Drosophila melanogaster: one gene and its partner. The protein of the gene in region 2 purifies or fractionates together with the protein of the main gene of each other region. This does not show direct contact. Each region holds a gene or a part of one and is shown on either strand. Other genes may lie near its edges.

The links. The genes of interacting proteins can lie anywhere in the genome.
Region 1: the proteins of gogo (region 2) and hts purify together in Drosophila melanogaster (affinity purification with western blotting; one study listed by BioGRID). This does not show direct contact.

Annotation. Positions count from the first base shown.
Region 1 is NT_033778.4:19,421,904-19,428,395, reverse strand, and holds the start of hts (hu li tai shao), read left to right. Parts: upstream 1-3,492; 5' UTR 3,493-3,573; intron 3,574-4,281; exon of another isoform or gene 4,282-4,598; 5' UTR 4,599-4,802; intron 4,803-6,492. Other genes in the region: CalpA (Calpain-A), read right to left, coding at 34-426, 489-719, 778-1,018, 1,075-1,195, 1,258-1,382, 1,452-1,528, 1,590-1,766, 2,005-2,049 and 1 more. UniProt on the Drosophila melanogaster protein: Required for assembling actin at ring canals in developing egg chambers. Probably interacts with other developmental proteins involved in nurse cell/oocyte transport through the ring canals. Important for normal neuromotor function.
Region 2 is NT_037436.4:20,290,775-20,299,007, reverse strand, and holds the start of gogo (golden goal), read left to right. Parts: upstream 1-3,874; 5' UTR 3,875-4,247; intron 4,248-7,855; exon of another isoform or gene 7,856-7,904; intron 7,905-8,059; exon of another isoform or gene 8,060-8,233. Other genes in the region: Pex23 (peroxin 23), read left to right, coding at 1-43, 105-804, 863-1,444, 1,510-1,548; FRG1 (FSHD region gene 1), read left to right, coding at 2,108-2,166, 2,219-2,401, 2,466-2,664, 2,724-2,923, 3,016-3,163.

The DNA.
Region 1 (6,492 bases), on a different chromosome or scaffold from region 2:
GCAGCCATATCCTGGATATATCCGTATACGTACTTCGCGGGTGTTGATAAAGTGCGGCGATCTTCCCACAGAAGACTTGTATCTGAAAAAGTTCAGACCCTGGGGACGGTTTTCCAGTTCGCGATCATTAAGGCTATAGATAGCGAAACCAATGGTCAGACACTCCATTCCCATATTGCGCTTCGATCTGCGATTCTTTTGCATTAAGGCCACGATGACGGTGCACTGTCCCTCTTCGTCTTCCTCATCAGGATCGACTAGGGTGATAATATACTGGGGGTTGTGCCAGAAGGTATCCAGGAAATTGCGGCAACCACCAGCTGTAACACCGGGTGTCCATTCTCCCTCATACATGGACATCTCCCACTTTCGCTTGCCACTGTTTTGTTGGTCCTCGGTCAGTGAGTCCGGCGACAAATTGCAAATCTGAACAAAATCATGGCGAATGAATCATGAAATATTTCACCAAGAAATATTAATAGTCCTACCTCCACGCGATCGAAGTGGTTAAGAAAATCTTGGAAGGACATCCAGAACTCTCCGTCTCTGTCGAATGTTAGTCCAATCTCCGCCTTCTGTTCCTCGGGTATATAGCGCCATTCTGGTGAGCTATCACTCCATGGTCCATTCCACTCGGCTTCATTGCCCCAAGGATTTCGCATTCTTATCATAGGGATCTTTCCCTGACGATTTGGCGTTACTATGTCAATAAGGCAAACCTGTTGACATAAGATTAATTAATAAAATGTTCTTATCATAGCAATTTTCCGAACAAACCTTGGTTATGGAGTAAGCGTGACCACGGATTAAGCCCTGAGGAGTTTCTGCCTCCGTGACATTTGGATCAGGCTCAATCGAGCATCCCATCATGGAATTGCGTTCAGCTGCTTTTTGCAGAATGGTGAATAGATTGCCGGGTGCTTCTTTTAAATCGTACCACTCGGATACGCCGCCAGTAAAGTCCTCCATGGCCTCGCAAGTGCTGCCTCCCTTTAGTGCCTCGTAGGATCCATGAAGTCTAGAAAGCATATATACATCAGTTGACCATAAAGTATGTGAATAATGTAGTCCTACTTGGCATAAGCCTTCTCCAGCAGGGCGCTCCAGAACTCGTTCTTCTCCGTGGAGTGCATGTACATCAGCTCTCCATTATAAGTGGGCAAACGGTCATCAATGATTACATCAACCCATTTACCTTAAAATTTTAAACTAAAATTGTAAGAAGCGCATGAATAATTTTTTTAATAAATAATTTACCATACTGCCAAAAGCGGAAATGGAAGATACCAGCATAGTTCTCCTCGAAACTCTGTTCCGCTGGAATTACCCGAAAGAAAAGGTTGGATTCCTGAGTTAAATTGGCTGTGGCAGCCAAGAGCCAACTGTAAATGTAAGCATTTATTTAAAACTATTAATTATTCTGGCTGCGGAAATAGAGATTTTGTTCTTACCAGTCACCAAGCTCGCCTTGCTGAACATCAAAACGCGAATAACCCTCCACAAAAAACTGGGGATTCTCGGCAATTTCCTTTATAATTAAAGCATTTATACCTTTAGTTACGGGTAATATGGTAGTATCTAAAACTTACATGAGGTCTCAGCCATTCGATGTGACGATCTGGACGCCGGGAAAACTGAAGAGACTCGTTCGAAGCCGGAAAAAGTGGATCTTCGAAAAGGGAACCACTGGCCAGGCAGCTGTTCAATATTGTCTCATAGTCCTGCACCTCGGAATAGGGTCCCAGGCTCGAGCTCTTCTCTCCCAGCTAAAAAATACATGCTATTAGTGATATGAATCTAACAAAATTGATGAACTTGATTAAGAGTATTATGTATGTACACGATAAAGTTGTGTAATGGAGTTGTATAAACGATGATGCGTTTTACACTTTACATGCGAAAGAAAAAGAACACAAGGACAACACAGTACGACACTTTGGCAGCGCATTATCCTTGGAATGGAATTATGTCAATGCCATTACGATGACGGGAGTAGGTACTTACGTTCCCATAGTACAACGTACTATTACTTTGAGATTGCAATGGTTGCTAATGAGTGGAATGTATATGTATTTGTTAACATGCATATGTAGATTTCAATGGATTGTTTTCTATGTTTGTTTAGTATAGTATAGCGCCCTATAAATAACTGTTGATAACCGTGTGGGTCAACTTACAACTCTCATATTCTTGATGCTGGGCAGAACCCTCTTGGTGTCGGCCTCCTTCTTGATGAAGATCTCGTTGATCACCGATCCGACCACATCCTTGGCCGCTCCCATTGCAGCCTCACCAGCTGCATTGAGGAACTCCTGTCCCGCTTGCCTCAAGAATCCCCTCAAGTCGTCCATCGTGCAGATATCTGAAAATATATGTACATATATAGTTTAATATCAGTTAGCAGTGTAAGGTGCCGCCTCAGATTAAAAACCCATTAATAAATATTTATTGTTCAAACATTTGATGACTAGTTAGCAACATCCAATATTTTTTATATCGCCCATATTTACTTATAAGCCTCGCGGTGGAATTAAAAGCACACCCAGAGACATAAATATGGTTTAACGAGCATTACAGAATCGTTAGTATTCCCAGTGTGACTGGAAGTCGGGCTAAATGAAATTACTTTAATTCACGCAAACTGAAATTATACTTTGGAGACAAGAATGTCTCGGTTCGCACCCAAATATAATTCAAATGTTTCTACATATACAATGCTGTATTTATACATATGTAGCCGCTATATATATATGCTATATTGTGTGACATCATTCGGAAGCATGAGATTCTCTAGTGACTCAAAGGGTGTGCGCCATTCGGGAGATTAAGCTTCGTTTTTTATCCATATTAAGCCGGGATATTGACATTGACCCATGGAACTACTACATATGTACGACACATATAGGGTATATATTTCTGTGACAATAGTAAATTGGCCTTTAATTGGGGCGAAATATGCTAGATTGGCTGACCCATCTGTTATTGTATTTGCGAACATTGGTAATTCTACGGCGAAACCCAAACAGGTTTGGTAATTAATGCATTCTTCTGGCCTGGCTCATTCCCGTGACCACCATATTTTCGTAAAGAATAGTATATTCGTCATAGGCACTTGATATTTCTAATACTATATATATTTGCCCATTTTCCAACGGACCTTGATTGGTCGAGAGAACGATTTCCGAATCGAATCACGCACTTTCACTCCCCAAAATCACAGCACAACAATAAAGTAACGGAACCACGCACCTTCACCGCACGGAGATATTTACTCACTACAAATATTTATATCTGTAGCTCAACACCTGACTGCTATCGAATGTTTTGGTATTTATTTTTATCGAAGTATTTTGCCGAAATTTGTGATTTGCCAGCCCTATTTCAATGTAAATATATCGATAATCGCCCGATTTTACTGAAAAATATTTCGATAAGAGCATCGATATTTCAAACAAATATCGACCCATTGACATGCGTCAGGTTTGTCCATCCCTAACAAAATCGTAGTACGAAATATCGAAAACGAAACACATCACGCGGGCGAAATTTCGTGAAGTTCAGCATTTACAAATTGTAAGCAGTGGTTTTATCGAACCCATTGACCAATTAGTGGGCTTCTAAAATTAGTGATAGACTTTATTAAATGAAACGAGAAAATAGAGGCGAATACACCCGTACAGCAAATTGACCATCGATTTTTTCACGGCATTGCCGGTGACGAGAATGCGACGCCGTTCATACACACACACGCACGGACACGAATGTGTGTATATGGCGCGGCGCTTGTGTGTGAAAGTGTATTCGTATAAATAATATGACATAATCGACGTGTGCGGCTTAATTGACATAGTTTTTGTGCGAAGAATACCTAAAAGTGCGAAGAGAGCGCCAAAAAAGGCGTTTTTTGTTTGTGGTCAAGGTGGCAAAAAGGACTTGCACCGCTATTTTCCCCTGCGCTTTGCTCCAAATATTCGTTCCTCCCCATACACTCTCTCGCACACACACAAGCGTGTATATTTGGGCGTTGCAGGATGAAGAACTCTCTTTCTCTCTCCCACTTTCCTTCGCTCTCTTCTCGTATTCTCTTGAACACTTTTGCGCAATTTGAGTGATTTGCAAGGCAAACTAATGCTTTTCGATTGTTTACCGAATTTAGTTAACCCCGTTTGGAAGCCAGTTTGTCTGGAAGTTACTTCAGTTTAGTTGTTTTCAACATCTCCACTTGACGTTGCCTAACACTGCCCGCCCTCTCTCTCTCGGCTTCTTTGCCACTGTCCGTGCGCAGTTCTCTTTTGCGCTTCATTCGTGCTCTGCCCGTCGGACGTGTCCGTACGATTTTGGATTAAGTTCTCGTAGGCAATTCAACTTGAAATATTTATTCGCTGCGGTGCAACTAAAATTTAATTCAAAGAATTAAAAGTGCTAAGTGCTGTTAGGAGCGGCAATTTTGCAAAAAAAAAAATATTAACAGTTATTTGGTGTAGTGCAAGAAGCCCAAAAGAGAACAAAATTATTTATTTTAAACATATTGCATTCAAGGCAATAAAAAGTTAAATCTATTAAAATTTTCTACCCTCTCCCTCCCCTTTTATTGATAGTCTCCCTCTGTGGCGTATGTGTGTTTGTACGAATTAGCGGCTGAAAACCAAAAACCGAGGTGCGAGAGCGAGAATACATTTATAAAAAACGCGTGCGTTTCTCCTCTAACACATACAGTGAGTGTGACCGTTGTATTTGTGACCTGTGCCTGTGTTAGCGGCCACTGGAGGATCAACGAATTTAAAAGAATACTAAAAGTACCGGTGAGTATTCTTGCATCTACCGGATGATGTGTTATAATCCCGTTAAATAGTGAATGTCCCCTCGTGCCCTGCATTCGTTTTAACCGTTATGACGATGAGCGGCAATTCGGCCGGTGACGCCATCTTTTGTGCTTCTCTAATAAGTGTTGTTTTTGTTTTTTGGGTTTGGTCAAGCTCACGCAACACGGCGTGTGTGAGTGAGTAGTGTGTCTATTTTGTTGTTATGCTTCATAGACAGTGGCGAAACTACAGATTATTATTCAGGGGTCATAAATGTCATTTAAGATCAAGAACATATTATATTTAAATTTATCCGGAAATATGAGCAAATGTTTAAGGTGTAGCACCACATTGACCCCCATTCAGACGCCACTGTTTGAGCTTCTAGTTCTAGCCACTTTTCTTCTCTCTTTCTCTTTTTTCGGGTGGGTGTGATTGTGTGTGCGTGTGCTTTTCCTTTCCATATGATTCATGCTTCTTTCTACCTCCGGCTTTCTATGCGCTTGTCAGATTAAAAAAAAAACCCATTTTCCAATTCTCGTCGCTGATTTTATTCATCTTTTATTTGGCAATTTGTTGCGAATGCCACTTGCAAATCTCTAGCCGTGTGCCTAATGCACTTGGGCAATAAATCCGCCTGCTGGCGCGCATCTGTGGGCAAGTTTCATGACCCACTTTTCCTCCTTGGTCTCTCGCCTTTCAGCAAAGTAAATAGTGAAAAGCAGCAACAAGTGATAAACAGATTTGTAAATATTGAAAACTTGTTTATGCCATTTGTCAGTGCAACCCAATGCCTACAAAATAGACTTTATAGGTATCGGAGGTAGTTCTTGATACTCAGTCAGTTCGATTTTTAAATTTTTTGTTGTCATTCAGAGCCCATCTTGATATTTCTGTAATTTATTGTAATCTTGAACGAATAGGAATTGATAACCTTTTACTTTAATTATTCTTTAACCCAATTCAATGCGCTATGCTTAAATGAAACATTACGCTTATAGAATTTAATATAATTTAAATTAGCAATGTTTCCTATAAAACTTTGTTTTATATATAGCCTTCTATAGATGTTCTTATGCAAGTCATAGGAGTTCGATTGTGTGTGTGCTCTCCCGCAATCTTATCAGAACCTTCGCGCTGGTTACGTTTTCTTGTTAGATTGCTGTTTCTATACAAGTACCTACATATCCACATTACAACAAGCCAACAACATTCCCAATTTAAGTTATAAGGAATTTCTCCTTTGCCACCAACTAACTACCTACCTATTTACAACATTCTTCGATTTCTATTACCTTACTTCCTGTTCTATATACTCATCATATCAAATTCGAGCATTCCATTTGCCTTAGCTACATATTTTGCGATACATGACGTCATTTCGCACACATTGCTTATAAAAAAGGTAAAAAAATAAAATAAAAATTTGCTCTTTTTGTTTGCTGGCTTTTGTTGCTAATTCGAATTTACTCATAGAAATACATGGGCAGTGGGCTTTATTTATTCATTGCTTATGCTGCCTCCCCCTTTATCACCCCTTATCAAGCTTTTCACTTGTTCCTCTTGCTCTGTTGTCCGTTTTCAATTCGCAAATTAGACGTGACTCGTTGGTTGAGGGTTTCAATTGAGGTTTTTTGCACACCGCAAGTTGCATTTAGAGAATTTTCGAAAATCGTTGAGGCATTATTTG
Region 2 (8,233 bases):
AAATGGCCTTTGCTCCCGGAGCAACTTTTTCGTTGAAAATAAGGTAGGAATAGAATCCTGGGAATGAAATCGAATGCCTAATACATACTTGAATATCCTTACAGGGCTCTGCAAGATCACTACTTGATCATCGTGAACAATGCCGTATATACCGACTACAAGTACCGCATCGATCCGGAAAGCGTGACGCGGCTTTATGTGAGTGGCCGTATTAAGCTTTTCAATGTACTCTACCGCTGCCCCTCCCTAATTGTCTCAATGGAGCGCATGCACTGGCGCCAAATGGGCGGTCACATTAAGAGGATTTTCAACAGCGGCGTGGATGTGGTGTGGGGCATATCCTGTGACAACACTGGCTGGGTTTACAACGGAGGCTGGGGAGGAATGTTCCTAAAGGGCTTGGAGGGGTCCGGCAAAATTAACCCAATGATTGACACACACACCTACTATGTGTACGAAAATCAACGTTGGAATCCAATCAGTGGTTTCACGGCGAAGAGCCTGCCGACGGATCGGCACATGTGGAGCGATGCTACTGGGCGGCAGAAGCGGAGCAAGGAGCACACCAAGCTGCTGTCTACGCACTGCGAATGGATCTCCGATTGGGCCATTGACTACAACATTCCTGGGGGCGCGGACAAGGAGGGCTGGCAATACGCCATCGACTTCCCCGCCAACTACCATGCTCACAAAAAACTCACAGATTGCGTGCGTCGACGAAGATGGATGAAGCGATGTCGTCTTAGCAGCAGCGGACCATGGCAGGAGCTTAGTCAGTCCAAAATCCTTGATGCTGCCCTGCAGGTATGGTTCTACTTAAAAAATTCTCAACATGGTTGTTTTTTAAACATTTTCCTACTAGGTATTGGATGAAGATGTGGATCACAGCTGTTCGGGTGAGAGAAACACAGCAGTGGCTGCCTGGGCGATTGCCTCCAATGGTGATGTCCTCATCCGGCATGGTGTATGCAGCTTAAACCCTCGTGGCGATGCCTGGGAGCACATAACCAGCGACCAGCCGTTAGTTGGGATCAGCGTGGGGCCCACAGGTCAGGTGTGGACTGTGGCGCGCAACGGCATGGTGTTCTTCCGGTATGGCATCAGCAGGCAGAATCCGTGCGGCGATGCCTGGCAACAAGTGGAGGCACCCGCGGGTGTGACCTTTAAAGCGATAAGCGTGGGTCGGGCTGGGATTTGGGCGCTGGACAACCAGCAACGTTTGGCTGTGCGTAAGGAGATTTCGAGGACTTTCCCTGAGGGCTCCCACTGGCAGTTTCTGCCCAATGCCGCCAATGTGCCACCGCACACGGATCAGCATTGTGGCTTCCGCTCGGTGTCCGTGGGCTCCGAGGTGTGGGCCATCTCCCTCAATGGTATCATTTGCAGGCGCTGCGGAATTACAGAGGAAAATCCTGCAGGCGTAGGATGGAACCTTGGCATTGCGGTATGCAATCTAAACATTGGGTTGGTTGAATTTATAATTAAAAAAAAATACCCTCTCCATTTCAGGGCCAATGGCAAAATGTCTCTGTCGAAGGATATATGTGATGGAGTTGAATACTTTATTTGTGCATTCCTATTTACTTACGGACGATCCTGTTTGTTGTATTTATTCATATTTACAAGCTTATATGTGACCATGCCAACGCTTTTTCCAAAGTATATGAAAATAAGATGTTTCCTATTTAAGCTATTTGAAACGTATTATTTACACATATTTATTTATAATTTATAATAATAATTTATAAAAGTATGTATCTAAGTCAAATGTTTAGTTTAAGTCTTTTGTTTAGTTTAACAAATCCAGCAGCCGTGATTGTATTTCCTTTTTGTAAGCAAATATATAATGAATTACGAGAATAAATATATGTATGTGATGAAAGATGAAATATGTCTTATCTCTCACAGATCAAAAATCATTTGATTTTAATTTTTTTACCAAGTTAATGAATGGTTTGAGTCCGTACTTTTTAAAATGTACGCTTACAGTATTTTATTGGTAAGATATCGATAGCCGATAGACCAGCTCATCTGCGATGTTGTATCGCATGTTTGTTTATTGTGTTGTAAACCAAAACTATATCAACAATTTACCTATTTTGTGACGATGTCAGACTACGATCATGCACGCATTAAGAAATTGGTTCTAAAAGGCGAGAAACTCAAGTATGTAACTACAAATCTGCCAATAGCATCAATTGAAATTCTCGATTTGTAGAAAGAGCAAAAAACGCAAGAAGGAAAAGGATGAGGCTGGATCTTCCAAAAAGGCCAAGGTAGTAGTGGATGAGGATGCCGTGAAGCACGGCGGTTGGTGGGCAGCAAAGACAGCGGCCGACATCACCGGTACAGTGTCCATAGAGTTTGGCGATAGGAGTTACCTAAAGGCCATGGACAATGGGTAATAGTGAAAAAGATCTGCCCATTGGTACTTTAATTATACCGGGTGTCCATTAACATTTTAGTCTCTTCACATTGGGAGCACCACACAACGCTGGCGATGGCCCAGATCCCGAGGAGATTTTCACGGCTTTTCCCATCAACGACCGAAAGGTAGCGTTTAAGTCTGGCTATGGCAAGTACTTGAAAATTGAGAAGGATGGAATGGTCACGGGGCGCTCCGAAGCAGTGGGCGGCATGGAGCAGTGGGAGCCGGTTTTTGAGGTAAGTCTTACCTATATACAAATGTTTTGAAACGATAAAACTAATCAACGTAATTAAAGGAACAACGAATGGCTCTTCTATCCGAAACCGGACACTTTATGTCGATCGATCCCCAAGACGACGCCTGCGTGGCATTGCGAAAGAAGGTGGGTCAGCATGAGATCTGTAAAGTGCGGAGTAATGCGAGCAGGGATGTGGTCATCGATACGGAGCCCAAGGAAGAAAAGGGAGACTTGGGCGAAGTCGAGAAGAACTATGTGTAAGTTCAGCTGATGATTATGATTTATAGGACTTAAAAAGGTTGAATTCCGCGTTACCCATTTCAAATTTCGAACCTTTCGCATTTTTTAGGAAAAAATTTCAAAAGTTCCAGGACAAGAAGATGCGGATTAATCAGAACGATGTCAAAGAACTCGAGCAGGCAAAAGCTCAGGGATCTTTGCATGAAACTCTTCTGGATAGACGCAGTAAAATGAAAGCCGATCGGTATTGCAAGTAAACCGACGCGAAGTGTTCATCATTCATTAAAAAAAGTTACCTCTAAAATAAGGTACGGGTTTTATTTTTATAAATATATATGTATATTTATTGGTATCTGAAAATATCTGAATACTTATTGGTTTAAATATTTAAAAGCAATATATTTCGTTCAGGCTTTCAAGCTTAGGCTTTTAAATAACAAATGATAGGTAAACTGTGTTCATATTCATAGTTTCAAGCAGAATCAGTATTTACCTAGTTAATTTCCCAGTTTACAACCAAAATTCAATATCAATCTATGTAGGCAGCACACAGATTTGAGCATGCAGATGCGGGATTTAAGCTGGCCAAGAGTTCAACTGGCCGGCAACAGCCTTTCCACCCCCTTTCGCCCGCCTTGCTGTAGTAAAACTAGCAGCAGACGGCGTCACAACATGACAATTCGCGCTGGATGTCCTCCACACCACCCAACTACTTCAGCCACCCCCTCGTCGGGTGGGAAATCAACCACCATGCGTTGCATCCTTGGTGCCCGTGCCCGCTCTCATCTCGGTCTCTCGCCCGCTCTCTCGGCGCAGTCCTCACACCATCGTTGGCGTGCGCCTCTCGCTTTTTCCACGAGGAGTCCGCTTGAAGTGCCGAATCCGGTTCACGTCCTGGTGGCTCGTGCTCGTCTGTGCGCTCGTGGCTTTATTTTGGCTCTGGCCGGTGGCTCAAAGTCGCGTGGCAATCAGTTTGCTGCCGTCTGTGTTCGTGGGTGAAAGTCCGCACCGCTTGGCTGTTCGGATTTTTTGCCGCATCTCGTAGATACTTCATATGGAAAACGCTTCTATCGGTTGGAATTGTATCTCGTGAATTGTGCCGCCGCCGTCAAGTTACACTTGAAAATTGTCAAAATTGAATTCACCGAACGTTAGTGAACAAAGGTCCTCCAAATGGCCATAACGAGTGCTGCGGTCTTTGTCTCGATTCGGTTTTCAAACCAAACTACTGGCGTTGCCGGGTTAAGTCAAAAGGTTCTGTAGATATACTTAAGTGCTCAGTGAACTACTCATCAACAGAATAATCGTGTAGTGCAACTGCATATATCATCCTGCTCTTTGGTGAGTGAAGTGATCTCATTGCAGTTATTATATTCTCTTTATACGACTGTCTGGTCTGGTCTGGTTTTGTTTCCCGCTCTCGTTTTTCGGTGGTGTTTCGAAAATTGCAGGCGATTCGGGGTGTTTTTTCAAACTGCCGCCGACGACAGGTATGGGATAATCAATTCCAAGGAAAACTAGAATCAACAAGGCTGCAATTTTATTCAAAAGTGTGGGACCACAGAAATCCTTTTGAGAAATATATAAATCTCGTTCTCGGGCATAAATCTAATTGAACTCAATGATTTACCATTCGAGTAAGTTGCGTGTGAAAAGCTCATACATTTGCAGATATGCAAAGGAAGGCGGAGTTAAATACTTTGGGAGATCGATATAAGAAGGAAATGGCTATTAGTCACTACGATTTGCTATAAAAGAGGATGTTATTTTAATACAAAACTGTGTTCATGTTATTCCCAAATGTTTTTAATTTGTGACACAGGGGTAAACAAAGTGGGTTGAGTGCACCAAACAATTTCTTATTCCTCAGTACAATTTTCAATCCTTGCGTGCTAACATTACTCAGATTCATAACTATTAAAACAAATGCTCCGGGTGTGATATTAGTGGATCGATAAAGCTAATCTTTTTAATTAGCTTAAGAGGGTATAGTTAGCAGCTCATTATTGATTCTAAAGCACACTGGAGATATGGTTATGCAATTTAAATCCTTGTTATCTGTAATGTATCTGTGAGTATATTTAACTCCAGTTCATTGGAAACAAAACATAAATTTGAATTGGTAACAAATTCCTTGTTTTGTAAACAGGACACATTGGTCTTCTTAAAGGGGCCGATCAACCTCAACATTTAAAATCCATTAAGTTGAATTTCCTTTGAGGGCTTTTCCCCTTTGTCTGGCCTGTTTCTCCTTTGTCAAGCCCAAAAGTGGTCAATTGCCAGGCAGACAGAGGGCGGAAAAGTCGACAATGGAAATCCGTCAGATTTCTTTAATTTCCTCAGCAGTCTTTGACTGCTGAAATGGTTTCCTTTTCAGCCTGTCAATTGATTTGGCTCAAGAATAACGCCATTGGAGGTAAAGAAGTTTGGCTTAAAGCCGTTGCCATTGTGTATGAAGTGTTGAAATTTGAGAAAAAAAAGGGTGTCTCTACTTCGGTTTATCATCATTTGCCCTGAATCCAATACCCTTTTCATACAATATCTAGGGAGCATTTCGAGAGCCAGCTCCAAACAGATTTGCATCAAAGTTGGCAACAAATAGACTGTGACTTGCAGTTGGTTTTAGCAATTACTCTTTTTATATTTTCGGACTTCCTGGTGGCTTTCACACACGAACCCATGCACATTGTACACCGATGCTTTTCTAATTACGTTCATGTACATACAACATGGACATCTGATGTCACAGGTCTTCTTCGTTGCATTCAATTTGACTCGCTTAGAAATGCACCACCTTCCCTGGACTACCTGGGTAAGTAACCACCACCCACACCCAGTTCATGGAGGAACACATGTCATGGTATACCCTGTGGGTACCTGGCGGAAAAGAAAACAGAACAGAACAGAACAAAGTGAGAGACCCAGACTAAATTAATCAGGGGCCAGGTAGCGATTGGAGAGAGCTGGCGGACTTCCTCGGGGGTTGTATCCATACCATGCCGTCCAATCCTACTGCAACAAGCGAGTGAGCCGTGGAAAACAACCCCATGCGGACCTTTATAACTAGGGATTCCCCATATGCTTTCCCTATATTCAAGTGACTGGAAACTAAACTAATGGGTATCTTATATATAAATACACATGTAGCAGGGTCTTAAACATGGTGTAAAACGTATTTCCTTTGATTACCAAATTTTCCGTATAAGCAATACCCATTAAAACTTTTAACCGACCTTTTTTCGGGACTAAAAATGTATCCACAACAGGTAACGTTTCGCTAACTTTTCCAATGTCGGGTAACTAGACTTCAAAATGTAAGGAAAGAGTTTAGAAGGTAAAGTCAGCCAGCCTTTTTGTGGATTTTTGGTAACTTTCTTTGGCAGGCAACTGTGAATATTGGGGATGAAAGTGTAAACAGCTGACGGCGGTCTGAAGTACCTCGTATGCCAAAGTCCTTTCTCACGGGTTAATTTCCTTTCGCAACGCCAACATGCAAACATACAAATGCTTGCAAAAATATTTATTTAGTAACTCGATGACCGTCAGTTGTCTCCAGTTACTCAAGACGATTTGTTGATTAACTCTAAATGGATTTGAAATATTTGCATATTGCACCATTTCCGTTGGATCCTTAAAATCCTTAAATTTCCGCAGGCGGAAAGGGGAATAATCCTTCCTTATATAGTTACTACTGCCTAATGCGAACTGTAATTAAACTGTGTCTGCATAATTTAAGTGCTTAATTTTGCTGAAGCGATTGCTGTGCCGTCGCCAAGTTGAAATGCAAATAAATACTCAAGGCCTACATGAAAACGGCAAAAAAGAGCGAAAGGCAAAGTTTTCTGGATAGCGCCTGCCTCGCAACTCCAGTGGCGCACGCATTCCGCCTCCGGAAAAGTATTTGTAACAGTGTTTAAACTCACATAGCCCTCCGTGGTTTGCGAACTATTAAAAAGTGAACCGAGTTCTTGGGCGGTGGGCGGTGGTGCGGGTAGGTCGGCCAGCACTTGGAAATGTGGGCGGTGCGGTGCTGGGATGATTATCCAAGTTTTAGCATTCTTTCTGGCTCGGCATTCGGCTCTCCAACGCCATCAAGAGCCACATAGCGCACAGTTATGGGAAAATCTTTTAATTAATTTAAAACTAATTTTCTTGAAAGCCAAGTGAAATGACCTTTGAGTGTGCCGAAAGCAGTGCACATTCTCGGAACGCAATTTAATTTAAATATTTTAGCCAGCTCCGCTTGCTTCACATGCAAATCTAGAACAACACCTCAACTATGAGGCTTTAAACGATATGCAATCTTGATTAAATCACAAACTTGTAATTCATGTAGTTTGCATCTCGGTGTTGTGCAACTGCAACCTAATCATATCACACAGATGCTCCCTTTGATCTGAGCGCAAAAAGTTCGCCAAGAGGGGATTTTTCCGGGGCTATAGTCTCGAATGGATGCCAAAGCGACTCTCCGATTGCCCACCACTTTGAGGATTCGACAGGCATTCAAATGCCTTCCCCTCATCCAATCCCCCATCCCAGCACCCGGTGAAAGTGGATTAGCAATTTGTTAAGCCAACAATTTACCCAGCTCCGTGGGGCTTCACTTCGTCGAGTTGTTTGCATTTGTCAGGACCATGCTGTTCTTTTCTGCAGTTCCTGCAGCGGAAGGATATCCGATGACCCTGCCGAATGCCGCCTAGGGATCCATGTACAGGAAACGAAATGAGGATATTATCCAACGAATTATATGAATAATGGTATGCAATGTTAGTTAAATGCCGAGCAAAACTGAAATGATAGATACATTTTAAATTTTTAAACTTAATATACAATTCCACGGTAAATTATATAAATTTTTAATAACGATTTTAAAATTCCTTTTAGATATGCTTGTAAAATTATAAGTTTGCTACTTGAAAGTTCATAGCTCATCGAATACTTATAGTAAGCACAAATGAAACATTAAAATAAGTTGGATATCATCTGAGTGTTAGTGTTGTAAGTATTCTTAACTTAACTATAATTGAATAGCATCAAAAGAATCTAAGATAGGACTATTTATATTTTTTTTCCCTGTGTACCATCAACCTTTTGCGCGGCTTCTCAGTCTCTCACTTTGTGTTTAATTGTAATTTTAACTTTTGCCATTTAAGTGTCTATTGTGTGCCATCTGGAGCGACTTGTCTGCACCGCCGGCGAAGCCTTTTCCGCTCATTCTGTCACGCAGTGTTTGCCGTTCGTAAATGTTTTTAGTTCGGCTAAATGCAATTGTGGCCACTTCTTGCACTCCCTGCACTTCCTGCCAACGCACGTGGCCCACTCGACTG